Caenorhabditis elegans: one gene and its partners. The protein of the gene in region 3 purifies or fractionates together with the protein of the main gene of each other region. This does not show direct contact. Each region holds a gene or a part of one and is shown on either strand. Other genes may lie near its edges.

Region 1 (4,895 bases), on a different chromosome or scaffold from region 3:
AAAAAACGCTATTTTACATAACTTTTCACAAGTTTTCGGTATTTTTCAAAGAAAAATCACAAATTTTCACCCAAAACACCACAAATATGACAATTTTAATATCAAAAATTGCAAAAATGGTCCAAATCCATGAATTTTTGCCGAAAATTGAGCTTTTCGTTGCAATTTTCTCATTTTTAAGCCATTTTTTAGCGATTTTTCAGCGAAAAAAAAAATCCAGTATTCACCTCAAAAACATATTATTGATATGTTTGCGAATAAAAGCCCGAAGGCCCAAAAATTTTCCGTAAATACGATGAAGAACCGTCTTCAAAAAGTCTCGTTCACGTGGATCCTCCGAATCGAATAAATCGAGCAGCTTGAGCACAAATCTCTGATCAATATACTTTTTACCGATTGAAGCTTGGAAATCTGGCGACTCAAGGAATCTCAGGAAGAGCTCGTAGACAAGCTGCAAAATTCGTTTTTTTTTTTTTGATTTTAGGGCAGTTTTTCCAATTTTCAGTGAATTTTTGCAGATTTCTGATGATTTTAAGCATCTTTTAGCTCCCAATTTGGCCAGAAAATGGCCTAAAAACTCAAATTTTGTCGACTTTTCTGAGTTTCAGGTGAAATTTGGCCATAGAAGACGGAATTTCATAACAAAATTCATTAAAAACCGCTCAAAATCTCGAAAAATTACATATTTTCAGCTGAAATTTCAAATTTTGCCAACTTTCCAGGTTTCACAGCGGTCGGAAATTGAGAAATTGGCGATTTAGGCTGACATTCGACGAATTTTCAGCATTTTTTGATGGCCCGGAGCCATTTTGGGTATAATAGAGCAAAAATTGATTTTTTTAAATAGGGGTCTTTTGTAATAAAAATAATCAAAAATTGCTGAAAATTCCGAAAAATGGTCGAATTTCAGCCTAAATCGCCAATTTTTTAATTTCCGACCGTTGTGACACCGGGAAAGTTGGCAAAATTTGAGATTTCAGCTGAAAATGTCATTTTATGAGCTGTTGAGCGATTTTTAATGAATTTTGTTATAAAATTCCGTCTTTCGATGCCTTTCTCGGTCCAAAAAGTGGCCAAATGCCATCTGTAACACGGAAAAGTTGAGAAAATCAGAGTTTTTAGGTCATTTTGTCAATATTTTTTGATGCACTGGGGCTATTTTTGGTATATTGGAGCAAAAAAACGCGGTTTTCTGCTATAATTTTCAGATTTTCGATGTTTTCAGGATGTATCGGGGTTTTTTTTTGCCAAAAGGAAAACTAATAATTTTCCAGTCGAAAAAGTCAATTTTTTGGACCAAAAATTAGTGAAAAATGCACTTTTTGCTCTATTTTTCTGAAAATTGCATTTTTTTTTCGATTTTTTTTTGTCATTTTTCGGCTTCCTGGAGCCATTTTCGGGTTTTTCTTGCATTTCCAACCTGTAAATGTGGCCACGAGACTTCTAAAGTCGGTTCATCCTCTTCTGGATCAAATTCACAATTTTCTGATGGTGGAAGTACACGGAATATATTCTTGGCAACCATTTTAATGACAGCCGGATAAATTGTCTCAACAATTGCTCCTTTTGTCGATGTAATGTGATCGATGAGCTCATTTAGAGCTGCTCTTTTGATTTCTTTGCATTTCAGTTGAGCTACTGGATCATAGAAATCGAATACGTGCTGACATTGGACGAGCTTTTCGATAACGAGAGCCGGTTGCTCATTTGCAGCAGTATCTGGAAAAATTGAAGTTTTTAAAGATTTTTAGCGGTAAAATTGATTTAAAAGGCTCAAAATAAATTCAAATTTCGATAAAAATGGCGAAAATCTCAAATTTTGCAGCAGCAATTGAATTTCTTTTAAAAAATTGATGATTTAGGCCTTTTTTCGGGGTTTTAGCAGGGATTTTCGGCAAATTTTCACTGAAAAACCCGACAATTTCGGCTCAAAAAAAAACCGACAATTTCGGCTCAAATATTCTGAAAAAAGGCTAAATTTGAAATCGGCAATTTTTGCAGATTTTAGAGATTTCAGACGGCGTTTTTCAGAATTTTAGTTCAAAATTTGGCTCAAAAAGACCAAATTTTCTTAGTTTTGGGTTCAAAATTATCCGATTTGTCAAAAAATCTTTTAAAAAAAAGACTAAAAACTCCATTTTTACGAATTTGCAGCGACCGAAAATCGATTTTCATCGAAATATTCCTTTATTTTGAAGATTTTCGCGATTTCTAACGCGTTTTCCCGTCGATGTAGGTAAATTTTCACGAAATAATGTAAAAATACAACATAAAAAAGTTGATTTACTTGAAAATAGTGTAAGTTTTCGTTAAAAACTTTAAAAAGAATCACAAATTTTGTATAAAAGTCGAAATTCACACTTTTGGGACAATTTCCGACAATTGTAGGCTATTTTCCAACTTTTCAACGAAAATTATCCTAATTTTCAGGCCAATCGAGCATTTTTCAACATTTTTTCACTAAAATTAGCATTTTTGGACATTTTCCCTGAATATTTGCCTGGAATCGACTGAAAACTGCCAAAATCTGCGGCAGGGTGGCAAAATGCGAGTTTTTCGCTATTTTTTACTCAATTCTTCGAAATTTTTTCGGTTTTTCATCTAGAAAATCCAAAAAAATCACCTTTGATGAGCGCCAATTGTACGAGTTCTTGAGCCGAATCAACATTATATCGGCTGCTGTTGTTGATGCGCCTGAAAATATCGGGAAAAATCGATAAAAATAAATTAAACCAGCCACTCACAATCGTCTAGAAGTTCCTCTTTTATTATGGAACGGATCGATTTTATCAACAAATTGATTAGCTGTCGCCGAGAGTTGTTGGCCACCGGTGGCGGCTCCCTGTGTCCGTGGCGGCGGAATTTGATGCGGAGCGCCCGTTAGACTGTGCCCGCTTCCGTGCATTTTTTTTTTTGATTAAAAGAATTTATCTTCTTCAACGTCTTCTCGCCCTGGTTGTGTTCGAGCGAAGTGTTGAAACTTCGTGTAGGAGGGAGCAGAGAAGCAGACGGCGAGAGAGAGATTTCTGGGCGCTTCTGCAAAATGTATATATATATATATTGATTTTTTATTGCGAGAGAGTGAGAGAGAGAGGGTTTTTATTAACGCGGAATGGTGTAAAAGAGATAGGCAGTGGTTATCGAAATTATGATAAGAAGAGAGTGAAAGTAAATGGCAATGTAGGTCGACAAGTGATCAGATTCGGGAATAAAATGTATTGAAATGGGTTTTATTTAATTTTATTCAATTTTTAACCGAAAAAAACGCAGGAAAAACGCTCAAATTGTAGACAAAACATCGATTTAACGTAAAAAACAAATTAAAAAACGAGAAAATCTCCGATTTACATTGGAGCGCACTTACTGATCGGTGGTTTGCCGCGTTTTTTCTAGTTTTTAAAGCTTCCTTGTGGTAAAAATTTGCAAAAATGCCTTCATTAAATGAACAAAGCAATGGGCAATGGGGCCAATACACAGAAAAAGTGAAATTTTGAGAACTATCACAAAATTGATTAAAAAAACCATTTAACAAGAAAAACTAGATTCAAATTCCCGCTCCGCAAATTTATCAATGGAGCACGCTTGCGAATTTGTTTTTTATTTGTTTTTTTAGATGGAAAAACTGAATTTCGTCGAAATTTAGTTGAAGTTTCAGAGTTTTCAGCGTAAAAACTGCTTTAAAAATTAAAAAAAAATAAAACAACCGAAAATTCTGTATTTCTTGCTGGTTTGCTCACTTTTAGCGATAACCGCGGGGAAAATTGATAAATTTTGAGAGAGGAGTGACAGTTTTTGCTGGTGTAAAAATGTGCCAAAATAAACGAATTTCGTTTAATTTTACCTATGGCGGTTGAAAATATCGATAAAACTGGGCATTTTTATCTAAAATCCAGCTGGAAAACTAGCTTTGCCAATTTTTCGTGTCGGAAAAAATTTTAATTTCCTACCGCTACGACATATAAATTTTTGGAAAAATCGAAAATTTTGTCTAATTTTTAAAAATTATCAAGTTTTTTCGAAATTTTGAACTTCGAGGTCTGAATTAAAAAAAAGAAGCCTCCATAAAAAATTTCGGGAAATTTAAGAGTAGTCTCATTACAAAATTCGTTTATTTGAGCGCATTTTGAGTCTAAAAAAGCAAAATCCTTTAATTTTTCATGCGCATGACCTACGCAGTTCGCGCATAAATTATATTTTATTCCCTACAAAAAACACGAACAATGTTCCAAATCGCTTAATAAATTCAGTGAAAAAGTTGAAAAAAAGAGACAAAAAACTCTCGCTCTCACACGAGGTATAAACGTCAACGTTTTGTTGTCTTCTCTCACTCTGCCCAGCCACAGAGAGAGTTAGTTGATCGAGAGAAAAAAGACAATCTCTCACCCGATGAGCGCCGTTTGTGAGCGGCGCGAGCAGAGTTCGTGTGCATTCCGGAGTGCACAGTGATGCAGACACTGAGAAGACGTCGAGAGACGCAGACACGTCGTGCGCACTCGCGCACGCATTTGCACACGGAAAGGCCGGAGAGTGTGGGAGACCGAGAGAGAGAGAGAGAGAAGTAAAGGAATAATATACGCACACAGGCCATCACAGGCCACTGGAGACGACGGAGACGTGAAGAAAATGAAGAGGAGGGGCAGTTTATGGGGGTGGAAGTAAATACGGGGAGAAAAAGTGAGAATTTGCACAACTTTCAGATGAATAGAAAAAGCTTAATTAAAACGCAAACTTCTGAAACTTTTACCTAAAGGCGCAGAGGCTTAGTGGGATGGGTCTCGCCGCGAAAGCAAAGTTTATAGTAGCACTGATATCTAAAAAATGGAAGAAATTACACAAAAAATTAGCCGAGAAATAATTGATTGAAAATTAGAGAAATGACTTAAAATTATTTTTAA
Region 2 (5,795 bases), on a different chromosome or scaffold from region 3:
CTCATTTCGTGTATTTCATACATAAGTGCATATTGATGTGCAAAGAGTGGGGTTAGCATTCGAAAAAGAACATATAAAGAAGGATTTGGATGAAATGAGCCAAACCCCTCGTAAACCTTCTGCCTAATATATATTCCCATGATTATTCCTATGCAGATTTTAATGTATTTCACATGGCTTCTCGATTCATTTATAACATCTAAATCCAAATCACTACCAAAATGGGGGAAATTATTACACAATGAAAAGTCGCATTTGGATTTGCGATGATGGTGAGGAGAGATGGAATTTATGGTGCATATTGATAAAACTGAAATAAGTTTCGAAATATTTACAGGTACGCAAACATAGATGTGATTAAGGGCAATTTTGGAGAGCAATAAAACGGTGATAAGGGTCATGGAATGGTCAATATTTTAAGAAAGGAACGGAAACTGGGTAAGGAAGTCGAATCATCGTATAATAAACCCGGCACAACATGGAGAAATTGGCACCCGTTGAAGTCTTCTGCATCACTGTTCGTCGGTGCTAGTCACTTTCTTCAAAAATGGATCGTGACGCTTGTACTCGCCTAAAGCTCTCGTCGTTTGCTCATCTGGAGGGAAATCGGATTGTTTGTGGTTGGGTCCGAAATCCATATCGTTTTTCATCGAGCTCTGTAATGATTCGTTATTGTACAAAAAAAAAATATTTCTAGGTTTTTGTAACTTACCACTCCTACAGCATTTTTCAGAATTTCATCCTTGCTAAGCACAGTTGAAGTCTTCATATTCTCGTCAACTCCATTCTGCTGACGCGAGCTGATGATTTCATCTGGATTAAATCGAGCAAATAGTGCTTTAACTTCAACATATTGCGGGTTTCCCATTGCCTGTTTCTCAATATTGTTCCAGATGCGTTCTTTTTCTTCATTCAATGTCTTTTCTTGAACTCGATCTTTCTGATAAGCTTGGGAACACTCGTCAAACAGTTTTTGATTCATTTCCATGAACATCTTGAGGGCGTTGTAGATAAGTCCATGAATCGTTTTATTCCAATGTGACTTGCTGTTTTTGAAAAGAACAGGGAACATTATTGGAATTATCACACGAGCATTGTCCGCTACTAATGACATCACATATTCATTATTCCAATAGTAGAGAGCTCGTTCGGCAACTTGGAAGTGTGGACTGCTGACACAGCGAGCAATTTGTGAGAACAATGGAGTCATGATTTTTTGGAACTCATTCGGCTCTATCACATCGAGGACTTCTTCCAATTCATTCAGGAACATCACTTCCTTGGGACTATGTTGTTTTGGCCAGAAGCGTAGCATCCCACTGATTACAGGCTCTGTCAGTGATGAGTCTTTTTCAATGAACTGTACGACACAGTACGCGAGTTGAGGATGATATACAGATAATGATTTGACCTTGTGTAGCGGAAGAAGAACTCGGAGCAAGAAAGTTTTGTGTTCCTCTTTCAAGGGAAGAGCGAATCCATTGATAATGCTACCTAGAATCTCGAGTAATTCAGCAATCCCGTTGTGCCTCTCAGTTTCGTAGATGAACGAGTAGAAAATGTTGTTGATTTGCTTCCGAATGTAAGCACGATGTCCGAGGAACTTTCCATAAATTCGATGTAAAGTTGTCTTCAGAAAGTCACGTTCACGTGGATCTTCACTGTCCATAATCATGAGAAGACGAAGAATGAAATTTTGATCAATGTAACGTTTTGCAACTTGAGATTGAAAATCGGGGCACTCCAGGAATCTCAGGAAAAACTCGTAGACGAGCTGAAAATATTTACTTTAAATAAGAGCAGAAAATAAATATTACCTGCAGATGTGGCCAGGCAGCTTCTAATGTTGGTTCGTCTTCATCGGGGTCAAATTCAGCACCAATTGGATTGGTCGGTGGGCTCAAAGGACGGAAAAGATTAGTGGAGAACATGCCGATAGCTTCTGGATAGACAGCATCAGATAGCGATCCTTTTGGAGCTCCGGAAACGTGGTCGACGAGTTCATTTAGAGCTGCCCGTTTGACTTCTTTGAATTTTAAATCGCTGAGAGCATCATTGGCAAAGTCAAAAACAACGCAGCATTGTCGAAGTTTTTGAATGAACAGTGTTTCTCTCTCGCTCGGATCCGCATCTAAAAACGAGTTTATCAATACGGTAATTAAAAAAAACATTATTACCTTTGATAGCTGGAAGTCTTTGCAGCTCTCTGTTTTGTGAAATGTTGAACATGCTACTTGATTGGCGGCGCTCTCTTCGCGGTATCACTGGCCCTGAAATTAAATCTGTCTCTATAGTTAATTAGTCTTCGTTTAAACACTAACCTCCTCCGTACGTGTTTGTTCGGCCAATATTTGTTGGTGGTGGTGCATCTGCAGGAATCATATCTCCTAGAAATGATAAATATGAGGGCCGAAAATGGAAAAATCAATGATTGTGATTCAAAAAAAAATTTATCCGAGAGGAGTACACTAGTGGTGGACTAACTATCCCATTTTCGATTTCTGCGGCCTCGTCGAGCATTTACGCGGGAAATTCAAATTCAAATGTACACTACAAAAGTTGTTTCGTGAAGTTGGGGAAATAGCGAAATGTCTAAGCGTTTGTAAGAAAATATCTACTATGAACAAAATAATATTTTCTCCAGAACACTAAAATGTTTTTTTCTTTGGTATGCGCTGCAAAAAGACTACAGGAAAGGCGTAACAAACCAAAAAAACACAATCAAACTAATTGAGCTGGAGTCCTAATCCGTTCCAACTATCCTATTCGAATTATTTCTAATACCTTCTTCCGTGATACAAAATAACGCGAGAAATAGAAGAAGAGTAGGGTAAATTGATGATAGAAAAGAAATCTAAAGGAGCAAGACAGGCGCAGAGAAGAAAGAAGGTCGTTTTTTCTGTGAGAAATAAAGAAAATGGGGGGGGGGGGGCAAAAAGAAGAAGAGTTTGAAGGAGTTTGTGGAAAAGTTGGACATCAATAGTGTGCCTTGAGGGCTCACAGATTTCTTGTTGTTGGTTGGATGGCTTGTTCCTCCCCCATCTAACTGATAAATATTTTCACTCAATATCTTCATAAAATGTAGTGCATTTGATTTCAGATCCGATACATTTCTACTTATTTATACTTTGCATCCATTTCAGTTATTCAAAAAAATGCAAGTGGTCAAAAACCTGCCTACCTCGAGAACTATAAGATGCTGAAAGGGAGGACAGCTTCAAAAATTATTTACTGAAGAAAACTCTAATCAAAACCTTAATCTCGAATCATGTTGTTTTTGTTTCCGAATAGTATATGTTTTCATGATAAAATTCGACACGCCGTAATCTAAACTTTATAGGCTCGCTGTATTGTCTTCACAGGGTCTCACAACGATCTCCGCTCGTTTCGAAGAATTCTCAAAACTCTACGATAGGAACCACTCTTACTCCTAAATGTTCTCAAATAATTTAGACTACTTACTCGTTTTCTGTCGTCTTTTCTTTGATCTCTGTGGCATTTTATTCATTGCTATCTTTGGTTGATGGTTGAAATTACTCGATGGTTAGAAAGAAATGATGAAAAATTATGCTCTCGGAGAACCGTGGAAGAATATAGATTCACGTGAGATTTTATTGAAATTGACTTTTTTAAAATTTTGTGTTATCATCTTTCCCGAATAATCAAAACATTAATTTACCTCCAACATCTTCTGTTCGGATCGTAGGAATTGTAGATGCCTTACTGCTTCCAGCACCGTCATCTTTCATTGATTTCTTATCCTTCTCTTTGTCCTTTTTCTCTGATTTCCCATTTTCCTTGTCCTTCTTCTTTGATCTCAACATTGCGGATGCGGAGCCGACCGCCTGAAATTAACAACATGAAAAATTCAATAAAAGTATGAAGAGACCTTTAAAAAATTAAAAAGAGAATACAAGGGACAACAAACTGAGCAAGTGACCATTTTTCATTGTTTCAAAAGTGGAAAAACGTTGTTGACAAGAGATATTATGTTTTCAAAGCAACGGGGAAAAACTGAGAACACACATGATAACATGCACATATGCACCCAAATCTGTTTTTTAGAAAACTACAGTAACCTATGTAATAAATGCAATCTCAAGCAGTATGATTAACTGTAGGAGAGGAATTAATGGAATGCAAAACCATGGAATTCCATGTGGCTCTAACTAACAAAAAATGACATCACTACATGAATGAGAAAAATCATCTGTCTTTACTTAAAAACCATCGTCACTTCGGAAATCGGAAGACGAAAAATAAAAAGCGCGGAGCAAACGGCGCCGTCCCTCTTCCCACGCTTTGTCGTTTTTTCCTACAGCTCGTCTTCTGCTTTTTCAGCGCAATTTTCGATTAACCAGCCCACTTCTTTTCTCTCGTTTTTTCCTTAAAGATCGAGCTTCATCCTCTTCAATTTCCAATTACTGCTGCTCTTTTGAGAGTAAAAGAGTAGACGATGTCAAGGATCAGATTCTGATGAAAAAAAGAGAGCAGGAAGAATTTGGCAGTCTTACTCGTAAGATACAAATACTTGACATATAAGTATACGAAATATTTTATGGGTTTGCCAAAAGTGAACCCATGAAGCAAAGAAAATAGCGGTCGTGCTGGATTGCTGAAAAACAGGTGAAATTGTGTGGTGCCCCCAACATAGAAACAAGCAATTAGAATTCTGTTGTGGCTCACATATCGCGTGTTTTTTGACAAGCAAAATGAGAAAAGGCGTTTTCGTAAGAAAGCAGAAATAACTGGTGAAAAAACGAGTAATAAATCTAGGAACTTTTTTTAATATATTCTATACGAATATGCAATGAATTGTAGCTGATCACAGACAAAAAATTGATGTACTTTTGTGCACCGAGTTTTTTTTTTCTAGATTTAAGACTTTTTCTGAATTTAACATTCTATTTTTCCTTGAAGGTTCAGTGATCAAGTGATGCCATTGCAAGTAATACGATAAAAAAAATAAATTAGAAAGGATAAAAACGGTCAGAAGCATCGTGCCGTCTTGAATCAAGTTTTAAACTAATTAATTTTCTAAACAAGCTTAAAATGTTTTTATTCATTTTTATCTGGTTATTTGTGTGAACACAGATGATTCACCGCTTGAAAAATACTTATCGACACCAATAATTTAGATGCGTTTGTGTTTTAATATTATAGATTTAGAATTCGAAATATTCATACATGCCCCATTTATAAAGCTTTAAAAGTTGAACCACATCGTACGCTTGTAAACTCCGCCGGCGTCTGCGGAACAAAAAAGTCCAAGAATCGATTGATAAATTTCGAGAGTAATTATATAAATAGAAAACTTAGCCAGCAACTAATTAATGAATAAGTCCCTTCTAACTGTTGGGATTTTTAGGGTATTGTTTTAAACTATCTCTAATTATAATGAACCAATTTTTATCCACTTTTCAATTATATTTAAAAAAACGGGTTTCATCGAAGCTGAAACAAGTAAGACTCTAGAAAAACAAAATATTCAACATTGCCGTTCCTAGACACAAAAACATACATTTTTGTTAGAAATCGTTAAAAACTGACACGTGATGACGGAGGGTGAAACTAGTTGAAGAAATGAAATCTTGTCCCGGGGTCTGGGCGCCAGTATTGGCATCATATTTCTGTTTTGAAAATCAAAGAGCACAAAGGAATTGGCTATTGTGAGTATATGCATGGCATTGAACCAGCGTAAAATCCCAAAGTCCCTTACGTGCGGAAATAATGCTCATCCGTCTTCAATAGTCTATTGGAATATTTCCATGATGACCCGGCTACAGAAAAAATAT
Region 3 (5,075 bases):
TGTAGGGATTTCAAGAAAAAATTGCATAGTTCAGAGTTTCTCAAAATAAAATTCTCTGAAGTCTTATTGGTGTGCAATTTTCTGCTGTTGAACTATTTAAAACAGTGCTGGCCAATACTCGCTTTCAATTTTTCGGCGACTATTTAGACTTTTCCAATAAGTATGCTCCAAAAGCTATACGTTTCAGCAAGAAACTTTTAACTAAAAAAGTGATCCACACGTTTTTATCTACTTAACCTAGTTAAATACGAGCATTCGTTGATCAAATGAGGTCTTAGGTTGATCACTTGAAAAATATAAAAATGCACCGAATCAAGCCACATCATAATTGAACTTTACAAGTTTGTCCTACCATTAAACCTGAACTCGTTTTCTCAATATCTTCATCATGTGAAAAACGGTATGACTTTTAAAATAAACCAAAATAATTCAATGGGTATTTGTTTTTGAAAGATATATGTTTGGATTAGTAATTTCCAGTTTTTACAACAAATTTCAAACATTTAGAACAAAATATTTTTATCGAAATAAACAACAATAGTCGGTGAAATTGTACTGGACAGTGACTGGAAAACCGGTAAGACTGAAACTGAGCACTATGAGATACAAGTACAATACAAGATGGTTGAAGAAAATCACAGGAAAAAGAATTTCTAATCGTGAAATTGGTTAGTGTGGTAGAAATAGAGAGTGTTATGGTACAAAATTGGGTAATAAGATTGATGTTGGCAGGCGAGCCAAAAGTCAAAATTAGTTGCTGGGAGGTTTCTACTATGAGATACAAATACAGCACAAGATGGGTTGATGGTTGATGAAAATCACAGGAAAATATAATTTGTAATTGTGAAATTGGTTAGTATGGTAAAAATAGAATTGTTATGGTACAAAATGGCAGCACAGTAAGTGTGTTCTTGTAGGCGAACCAATTGTCCAACGTCTCATTCATTGCTTGGCAATTCCTTGTCACTGAAAAAAAAATTGCTTGTTATTTATATAAGTTCACAAGTCTCACCTTTGCTTGTCCGATTCTTGTGGCTCAGCTTGTTTCAAATCACTTTCAGAATGAACATTCTTGGTGCAATCAGGAGCTTCGTCATCTTGTTGGTGGAGGAAGGATTGAGACATGTAGCCTTTCACAGAGCTGGCAATATCACTGAAAAGAAATAATAGTACATCGGAATTCGTTTATTATGGTTAACATACCTTGAAGTGCTTGGCTCAGGCGAAAAGTTGATCTTTTCATCAAGCATACGAACAAAATTATCCATGTCCATTGTGCTTCGCTTTTTGATGCCACTGTATCTAATCATCTTCTCAAAGGATGGTGTTTTGGGCTTAGTTGAAGCTGCTGGAACTGGCCCGGCATGACTTTGTGAAGAATCCAAATTCTCATCAAGTGTCTCCAAGGTATTATCAAGACTGGCAGCGGGACGAATGTACATGGATCGGCTTTTGGATGGCTGTGAAGTCGAAGCATCCTCTCTGAAAAAAGTAGGATAGAAAACAAACAACAGGCAGAGTATGCACCTGGCAACATCCGAAACCTCAGCCGCAGTTGGAAGAGTTTGATTGAGAACATCCGATGAGTTTGAGGCTTTGGCAACTGAACTGTTGAGAGCAGCAAACTTGGCGTTGAAATCAATAATCCACTGAATAATGTTGATGTTGGCTCCACGATTCTGCATTTGCATCGTCTTCCGCCAGTAGTCGTAGAGCATCGGCTTCAGTGTTTTTGCCAGCTTCAGCAACTGATGCTTGGGAGCGTCACCTAAAATGATTTTAAATCACATAAACACACAAATTCCACTTACTGAAAGTGTCTGCAGCACCATTTGGAAGGATTCCCGGAAGCAAGTAGTTGTACAATTGTCTTCCAAATTGTTCAAAATCTGGAGTCTCCAAGAAAGCTTCCTCTTCCTTTGTCAGAGTTGGCAAATGGGGTGCAGGGCGTGATGGGCGTTGATCCACGTGGTTGTATTGGTTCCTCGAGCTGTGATTCATAGAAGTGTTGGAGTGAGCTGGTCTGGAACTCATTGTAACTTGAGAGCTCCCTTGCGCCATCTGGAAGCTTTCCGACAGATTAGGCAACTGAGGTGCAGGGCCTGATGAGCTTTGATTCATTTGGAACTGTTGATTCCCGGAGCCGTGATTCATGGATAAATTAAATAGACCTGGCAGAGAACTCATTGGAACTTGAGCGTTTGTATGTGGCATCTGGAAGGTATGATCTCTTAAACGGTTATTCATATTCATCGCTTGAGGATCTGCATTTTGAGTATTCGGCCGATGAGCTATTTGTGGAGCTGGAAAACCGGCATTTTGAAGACCGTAAGCTATATTTGGAGCCGGATATCCTCGTCCTTGAGCCATTTGTGAAGACTGATTGTATTGGTCGAGGAGTGCCTGATTGTATTGGTCAAGGAGTGTTGGTGCTAATGACTGGTTCAGTGCAGAATAGCTTTGGTTGTGTCCCATGGCAGTAGGTGCTCTCTGCTCCAAGAAATTGCCGTTCGCGACATCAGCGGCCAGTCTTATCCCGGTTCCAACAGCGTTTTGTCCAGTGGATCCCAAACCAGTGTAAATTCCAGTGTGATCGGAAAGAACTCGATGATCTTGGTCTCCTCCTCGCAAGTTGCCAAAAACGCTAAACGAAGTGTTCAGGTTATTTCCAACTGCTGAACCATTCAGGAAACTCGCATTCCTATTGTCCCTTTCCTGCACAATTGTATCAAAATGGTTAACTCTTTGTTGTGCCAACGCAGAGAAATTGGAGAGAACATTTGGATCATCGGCAAGAGACGTGTTTCCAGAGAAGCACACCCAAGAATTCTCAACATTATTTGAGCCATTGAGCATGTTTGTCCAATGACGTTGCTGCTGGTTTTGAGCTGAGCCTGAAAAAAAACCAGTTTAATAAATCTATTGAATTTTAATTTTTTTTTACCTCCAATACTACGCATGTTGCCCGAAGAAAACGGTCCGTGATGATTCCCGATTCTCATTCCTTCTTGGGACTGCTCACGTCGGTGATATCCTTGCGGTGGGAAATTCCCATTTGAAGAAAAATGACCACGATTATCCATCGCCGCTCAAGAAATCAATCTCTAAAAATGGAATTATTGTGGAAAAATTACAAGAATTTGGCTAAAAACAAAAAAAAAATTCAACAGAAAATAAAAGATTTCGCAATAACTGCAGATGAAAAAGAGAGCGGACCACTGTCCACCAGTAATGGTACGAAGACTGAATGAAATGATATGAAATGAGAGAAGAGAGGGAAGAGACGCGCAGCATGACGAAACGTGGCGGCGCGCAGACAAAACAATACAAAAAAGAGCGGGCAGGTGTAGGTCAAAACAAATTTTGTGTGGATCTACTATTTTGCTCTTTAAGAATCACGCTAGAAATACGCAAATAAAACTTTGAATTTGGACAATAAATGAGAAAAAAAGTACTATAAAAATTTTTGTCCATTCTCGTAAATTAATAGATAAATCGGGAAGCACCTTTGCACGAAAGACTGATAAAGATAAAGAATAAAAAAGCAAACAATTATTTTTATATTTTGATTAAAACTAAAAAAAAACCTTTTAATGATTTTTGTCTAAAAGTCAGAAAACTTATCAATGCCGAATAAATTTGGTTGGGCCACTGCAGTCTAAAAACAATCCTCATTTTTGATAATTTTTGTAAGTTTTTATAATTTCAATACATGTTCGTTATAGCTACCCGCCTTTAACTTTTTATATAACACATAATTTTTTAAAAGTTATTTCACTACAAATTCACGTTTATCACACAAAAAAGATCAGAGTTTGGTAACAATATATTTAAAAACATTTGTTTCAAAATCGATGGTATGAAGCAAACGTATCAGTATTCAAAATAGTCATGTACATAAATTAAAATTTCTGGCTTTTTCAGAAGATTGGTTGAATGTAACCAAGCTACACATTATCCCTAGAACGTCGTCTTGATTCTGAAAAAAATCCCAATCATAAATTTCGGGAGTATATGAATTCTTATGATTTTATTTATGCTTTGTTCAAATGTATATCTAAGATCAATCATTTTTCGCTACTAAATCATGAATTGCAAGTTTTCAAAGTTATTCAGAAATGTGATTCTTTTTTATTTAATTTTGTTTATACTTTTCTAGCATCAGCACTCTTCTCAACAATAATTGATGTACTCTTAATGACAGAATTCTCCTGTCATAGTATTTGTTTCTCTCCGTGATTATCACCCGTGCTTCATTTTTCAGTTGCTCCTAGCAACTCATACTATCCCAAGGGAACTGAAAAAAGCGGGGCACTGCCGAGCTTCACATCTATGGTAGCGCTGATTTCCTCATTCCATTGCCCAAAATGATGTTGGCTATATGCTTCGGTATATTAATCTCATTCATGGATACTTTTGGGTTCATCGCTACCTTATTGTACCTTATGGTTGCAATCAAGTGTAACGGAATCTTCTATGTTCCACATCTCGTGAGATACTTTTTTCTCATCAATGTAAGTCAATTTCGTCTGATTCCTCAAACAGTAATAAACATAGTTTAGACCCTGATCATCACAATCAATTCGGTAGTTCTTTCAAAATTTGGTATCATCTGTGGCAATTTTGAATGGTTTGAGGAAGTTGTGTTTGCTCCAAACTTCCACTCATCAGCTCTTAACATTCTCCTCCGCGTCTCCAACTTCCTTTTCCATGCGATTTCAACTCTTCAAATCATCGTCATATCGTTCATGATCTTCATGCGATTGAAAGCTAAATACGATCGTGTTCCTGTGAGTAGTGCTGTTGGTCAAAACTTGATTGACGTGTCATCAAAAAAAAACACCATATTTTAACCAATTACAGGTAGTTTCCGACTACCGAATCCTGCAGATAATGGTTGTATTTTCAGTTGCGTCTGCATCTCCACTACTTTTTTCACCAGTGGAGTTCGAGCTTGTTTGGGACCAATTCTACTTTGTCACCAGTAAAACTGTGAGATACATTAACACGATTTATATGTATTCTCTTGAGTAAAACTTTTCAGCCGATCTCCGTGATTCCTCCTATCATCATCT
Region 4 (4,780 bases), on a different chromosome or scaffold from region 3:
AAAAACTAGTAAGCTCAAAGTCAGAAAATGCTCTGAAAATTAGTATTGCACTCCCTAATAGTCTTGCATTCCCTATTAGTATTGCAAGCGGGAAGACCATCGAAAAATAGTATTGCAGCCATATTAATAGAAGAAATACGGTATTTGTTATGTTCGAATGCAGATGTCTCATAACGATTTACAACTCTAATATGCGTAAATGTATGATAAGATCAGTTGAAATTGTATAAGAATGCATGCAGTGCCACCTGTTAATTTTATGATCCACCAATCATTCGGCACCGTCGATTCAGACATCACTTTTCTCATCAAGCCGCAGAAAGAGATATACGTGTAATTAATTGAGTTAATTTCTTGCAACAATCTAGTTCAAACATTTACCGGGAACAAGGAAAAACAGGTTGAATAAATAATAAATGACAGTCAAGGTTTTAGGGATTTTACAACAAGATTGTTAGAATAAATAATGTGCGTAAAACGTGTAAGTATACAAGAAGTGTATACTTAAAAAACAAATTAAACATTCAATAGTTGGAGTTTAGAAACCTCCGCGTCCACCACGACCCCCGTAACCACCACGTCCACGATCTCCGCCGTATCCACCTCGTCCTCCGCGGTCTCCCCCGCCGTATCCACCTCTACCTCCACGATCTCCGCCGTATCCACCTCTGCCTCCACGGTCTCCACCGCCATATCCTCCGCGACCACCTCCTCCTCCATAAGCTGAACTGGTGGGAGCAAATTGACCGAATCCTTTTGCAACTTTGGCTTCCCCAAATCCACTGACTTTGTATTGATTAGTCGGGGCAGGAAGAGGCATTGGAGTAGCGTCGCCTGACCCCCATGCAGTTTCAGCACGAGCTTGTGGTTGTGGTGTAGAATCTTTGTCAGCAACTGTGGTTTCCTCTTCATCTATCTGCTGCATGCCCTGAAAGAAATATTTTTATAATTCTGAAACGATGAACGCGATACCGGTGGCAGAGCTACTGATTTCGTTGGAGAATCCCAGCCATCGGTGGAAAAACTTGGCGCTACTTCTGGCGAAGCACTTGAAGAAGTATCTTGATTGGCATCCGAAGCCATCTCGATCTCGTTAACTGTTTGCTGTTGTTGTGCATCGTTAACCTTTTCTGGGACAGGATCGACCGCTTTTACAGTAACACCTTCTCCAATGTTTCTTGATGAGCTTAGCAAAGTCGAAGAATCCACTTCGTCACAAGAAATCTCCTGAAGACTGAGTGAATCCTTTGAATCGACAAGTAACCCGGAAGAATTGGTATCACTGAGACCGTTGAGAACTTGAGCTTTAGTATTTACGCTGTATGTGTTGTGAACCGTCGTCATTTCCTCTTTCGTGTAGGCGGAATCCTGCTGTTGGGAAGTGGATGGTTGCACATTGCTCTTTCTGCCACTTGGTGTATCGGACAAACAACACTTCTCCAGTGATTCAACAATTCGAGTGACATGAGTCTTCGAGTTGATTCCTTGAACAAATTCTGAAATTAAAAAGTTAACAGGAGATAAAAAAAGGAATATTCACTCTTGAAGCTATCGACGAGAAGATTTTTTGAAGTGGAATCCAAGAAACGAAGCTCGCCCAGCGCTTCAGTCTCATTCTCGGATCCGTAAAACTCTGTAAGCCACAGTGCAAACTGTAGAGCTTTATTCACATTATCGATCACCGCATCATTGTTTAGTGGACTCTGAGGAATCTGAAAAACGGTCATGTAAGTAATGTTTATAGAATCATTAACTCACCAGTGGAACGGGCTTATCGAAGCATTGCTCTAGAATTGAGACTTGGAACTTCTTGATAAGTTCCGCAATGGCTCGTCTTTTCCAGGCGCTCTCCAAGTCTTTCGCGACTCCAACAACATCCCAATCCTCAAAAGACTTCTTAGCTGAAATATTTAGATTTTAAAAGTAAACAAAGACGAAAATACTAACATCCTAAAAGAACTTGGATGATGTGATTGCCGAGGAACACCGCACTCTTGTAGACACTTCTTTGCAATCCTGGAAAGACTTCCGCTCTGACACTCGTAGGAATCCCAGAGAGGATTTTCTTGGAAACCTCGCGCTTTCCATCTGCAAGTGAACGAACGATAAGGAAAAAGAGCTGATATCCGAGTTGAGATCTCAAGACAAGTGACTCGTCTCCTTCATTTTTACTCGCTTCCTCGAAAAGTTGAGCGATATGGTTCACAACTTTCCCAACAGACTCTTCGAGTGGATCCATGAGGAGACTAATGAATGGATCGGCAGGTTCAGATTTCGGACCATCCAACCTAAATTGAAAAAAAAAATCGAATTATTTTGAAAAGGACAACAATTACATCAACTGTTTCAACAACGGCTTGCAGCTATCAAATGCGTTGACGACGTTATCACGGATAATGTCGACCTCGTCGCTAGTCTCCTCAGAGATAAGTCCGAGGATTTTAGTTAGGACATAAACATCAAAGTCCAGATCCAGTTGGCTGACAAGTTCCGTGAGCTCAACAAACTTTTCGGCGGCATCATCGATTGCGATTACTTTGAGAAGAGCTTGAAGAATCTTAGCGTCTTCAGTCTTCTTCAGCTTGGCCTTACGGGCGAGCATTCCGAGCTTCTTGTCGTCATCGATGACAGAAACCAGATCATGAGCATGTCCCAATCCTGACAATTTCTCAGCAGCAGCATCAAATTTCGGACGCTAAAACGTTATAATTGATTACAATAAGTTTAATTCACACTTACAAATTTATCTCCGAGAAGAAGACAAACGTCCATGCCAGCAGCAATAACGGCAGCGTTAGCGTCGTTCGGCAAGATCATCTCCAAAATGTCTTCGTCTCCAGGAGCGTCTTTGGAAGCTCCCAACACGAAAGCAGCCAACTTATTGGCCTGAAATTGAATAATAGAAAATCGGTCTTTAAATATTATAGTCCAACCTGAGATGTATTGTTGAACAGTTCTTCGTCATTCTTCGTGATGTAGTGGGCCAAATTTGGGAAAAAGTAGGATCTCAGCCCACCGAAATCCACAATTTCTCGCTTGTTAGCCTCCATGTGAAATGGATGAAACTGAAATAAATATTTAAATTTTTAAAAAATTTTTCGAGATTAGAATTCAAAAAAACGCAAAATTTACCCAAAAAAGTAAGAAAACGGAAAAGAAAATTGGGACGAGATCGAAATTGCAACTTCCGCGTTCGCGTCGAGTTGTTCGTTTCGAGACCCGTAGATCTGAAACTTCCATGCGCCTTTAATAATTTCTAAGTTTCTGAACTATTTCCAGATTTATTTTACCTATTTTCTAGTTTTTTTTTTCAAATCAAAATATGTTTAATCAATGCGGGGTTTTATAATTAAATAATATGTTTAACTTGTTATAGATTTTATAGATATTATTTTTTAAACATTTTAATTTGTTTCACGATGATATTTCAGTAATTGTAGGTTTGCGATGGCGACGAAAGAGCAGATTGTTGAGCACCGCGAGTCTGAAATTCCTATAGCCAGCCAGTGGAAGGCCACGTTTCCCGTTGATCTAGAGATTGAAAAAAATTCTGAAATGTTTGCGCTTCGCTACATAAAATGTGCTTCGGCCTTCATTCTCGATCGCCGTGGCATTTTGGACGAAAAATGCTTCAAAACTCGAACAATAGGTATGGCTTATTTTACAATGTATCACAAATATTTTTATACAGATAAACTGTTGGTCACCGCATTCCAGAGCAGTGTTCCTGCCGCAAAGCGTGTGTCTTCAACATTCGACGGATTGAGAGATGCGATTCAACAAGGCTATTTGCGAGAGTTCGCAATCGTGTTCTACAAGAAGCCAAACGAGGAAGACATTAATGAAGTGTTTGCGTTCAGGTTTGCTTATGGAGATGAAGGAGAGATTTTCGTATCTCTAAATAAGTAAGCTGCTGGTCTTATTCAATTATTCGTTTTCAATTGTTTTCAGCGGAATCGACACGAACGAAAGCAGTCAAGAACTGTTACAGGCGAAATTCGTTGATACCGACAACACGAAACAAATGTTTGCAAGCACAATCAAGAAACTTCACCGGTGTATCAAGAAAATGGAGCCGCTTCCTCAAGGGTCCGACGCGAGTTTCCGTGTTTCGTACACTGAAAGTAGGTTACATTCACAGCTTTAGTCTATTTCTAACTGTTATTTTAAGAAGCTCCAAAAGACTATACACCCGAAGGCTATCTGCTGAGTCCTATGTTCTATACGCTGAATCAGGATATTAGGAAAGCATCTATTGGAATCGTGTGTGGCGGTCATCACAAAATTCAAATGCTTGCTGCTTCACAATACTTGAAGCAAGACTTCGATCTGGATAAAACGACCACACTCAATCCAAATATGTCAATCATGGCAAACCAATCGAAAAGGAAGGGACGAATTTCCAGAGATTCCCCTTACGGTCTCAGTCAGGGCATTACGAAGAAGAATAAGGACTAGTCGAAAAGTTTTCACTCATGTGCAATGTTTCTCTTGTTTTATATTTTTAGCCATTGTTTTTATAATTTCATTGATTGTCGTGCTTTTGTCTTCTCTTGTGTGATATCAATCTATCTTCTTCACGTATAGTTTCATCTGTTTGATTGAGTTATTTTTCTTTCACTGTAAGTCTGGTGTTTCGTAGATTTAGAAAAAAGTAGCGTAATAAATTATTTTGAAATGGACCAAACATTCAAATCCAGTTCAGATAAATTTATTTCATTGAAGCAGTGTTGGAATTCGGACAAATGAGAAGTGAATATTCATTTGAAATAAGTTTTAC

What was found.
Region 1: the proteins of meg-1 (region 3) and pptr-1 purify together in Caenorhabditis elegans (affinity purification with western blotting, with the first as the bait; one study listed by BioGRID). This does not show direct contact.
Region 2: the proteins of meg-1 (region 3) and pptr-2 purify together in Caenorhabditis elegans (affinity purification with western blotting, with the first as the bait; one study listed by BioGRID). This does not show direct contact.
Region 4: the proteins of meg-1 (region 3) and pgl-1 purify together in Caenorhabditis elegans (affinity purification with western blotting, with the first as the bait; one study listed by BioGRID). This does not show direct contact.

What each region holds. Positions count from the first base shown.
Region 1 is NC_003283.11:16,355,662-16,360,556, reverse strand, and holds the start of pptr-1 (Serine/threonine-protein phosphatase 2A regulatory subunit pptr-1), read right to left. Parts: upstream 3,037-4,895; 5' UTR 2,906-3,036; coding exon 2,745-2,905; intron 2,695-2,744; coding exon 2,624-2,694; intron 1,720-2,623; coding exon 1,421-1,719; intron 452-1,420; coding exon 228-451; intron 1-227. UniProt on the Caenorhabditis elegans protein: Probable regulatory subunit of serine/threonine-protein phosphatase let-92 which negatively regulates the insulin receptor signaling cascade composed of daf-2, age-1, akt-1, akt-2 and sgk-1 by promoting the dephosphorylation of akt-1 on 'Thr-350'.
Region 2 is NC_003283.11:11,027,001-11,032,795, forward strand, and holds pptr-2 (Serine/threonine protein phosphatase 2A regulatory subunit), read right to left. Parts: upstream 3,825-5,795; coding exon 3,680-3,824; intron 3,509-3,679; coding exon of another isoform or gene 3,463-3,508; intron 2,921-3,462; exon of another isoform or gene 2,805-2,920; intron 2,785-2,804; exon of another isoform or gene 2,644-2,784; intron 2,388-2,643; coding exon 2,322-2,387; intron 2,283-2,321; coding exon of another isoform or gene 2,271-2,282; coding exon 2,178-2,270; intron 2,132-2,177; coding exon 1,818-2,131; intron 1,775-1,817; coding exon 713-1,774; intron 657-712; coding exon 513-656; downstream 1-512.
Region 3 is NC_003284.9:13,926,531-13,931,605, forward strand, and holds meg-1 (Protein meg-1), read right to left. Parts: upstream 3,105-5,075; 5' UTR 3,084-3,104; coding exon 2,945-3,083; intron 2,895-2,944; coding exon 1,812-2,894; intron 1,769-1,811; coding exon 1,528-1,768; intron 1,483-1,527; coding exon 1,204-1,482; intron 1,154-1,203; coding exon 1,013-1,153; intron 967-1,012; coding exon 939-966; 3' UTR 506-938; downstream 1-505. UniProt on the Caenorhabditis elegans protein: P granule component, which acts redundantly with P granule component meg-2 to promote P granule segregation during embryogenesis, and germ cell proliferation and differentiation in larval stages.
Region 4 is NC_003282.8:6,974,079-6,978,858, forward strand, and holds pgl-1 (Guanyl-specific ribonuclease pgl-1), read right to left. Parts: upstream 3,241-4,780; coding exon 3,133-3,240; intron 3,066-3,132; coding exon 2,934-3,065; intron 2,887-2,933; coding exon 2,740-2,886; intron 2,696-2,739; coding exon 2,337-2,695; intron 2,289-2,336; coding exon 1,948-2,288; intron 1,902-1,947; coding exon 1,759-1,901; intron 1,713-1,758; coding exon 1,541-1,712; intron 1,497-1,540; coding exon 973-1,496; intron 929-972; coding exon 539-928; downstream 1-538. Other genes in the region: him-3 (HORMA domain-containing protein), read left to right, coding at 3,448-3,649, 3,692-3,905, 3,952-4,124, 4,172-4,458. UniProt on the Caenorhabditis elegans protein: Guanyl-specific endoribonuclease which cleaves the phosphodiester bond in single-stranded RNA between the 3'-guanylic residue and the 5'-OH residue of adjacent nucleotide, resulting in the formation of a corresponding 2',3'-cyclic phosphate intermediate.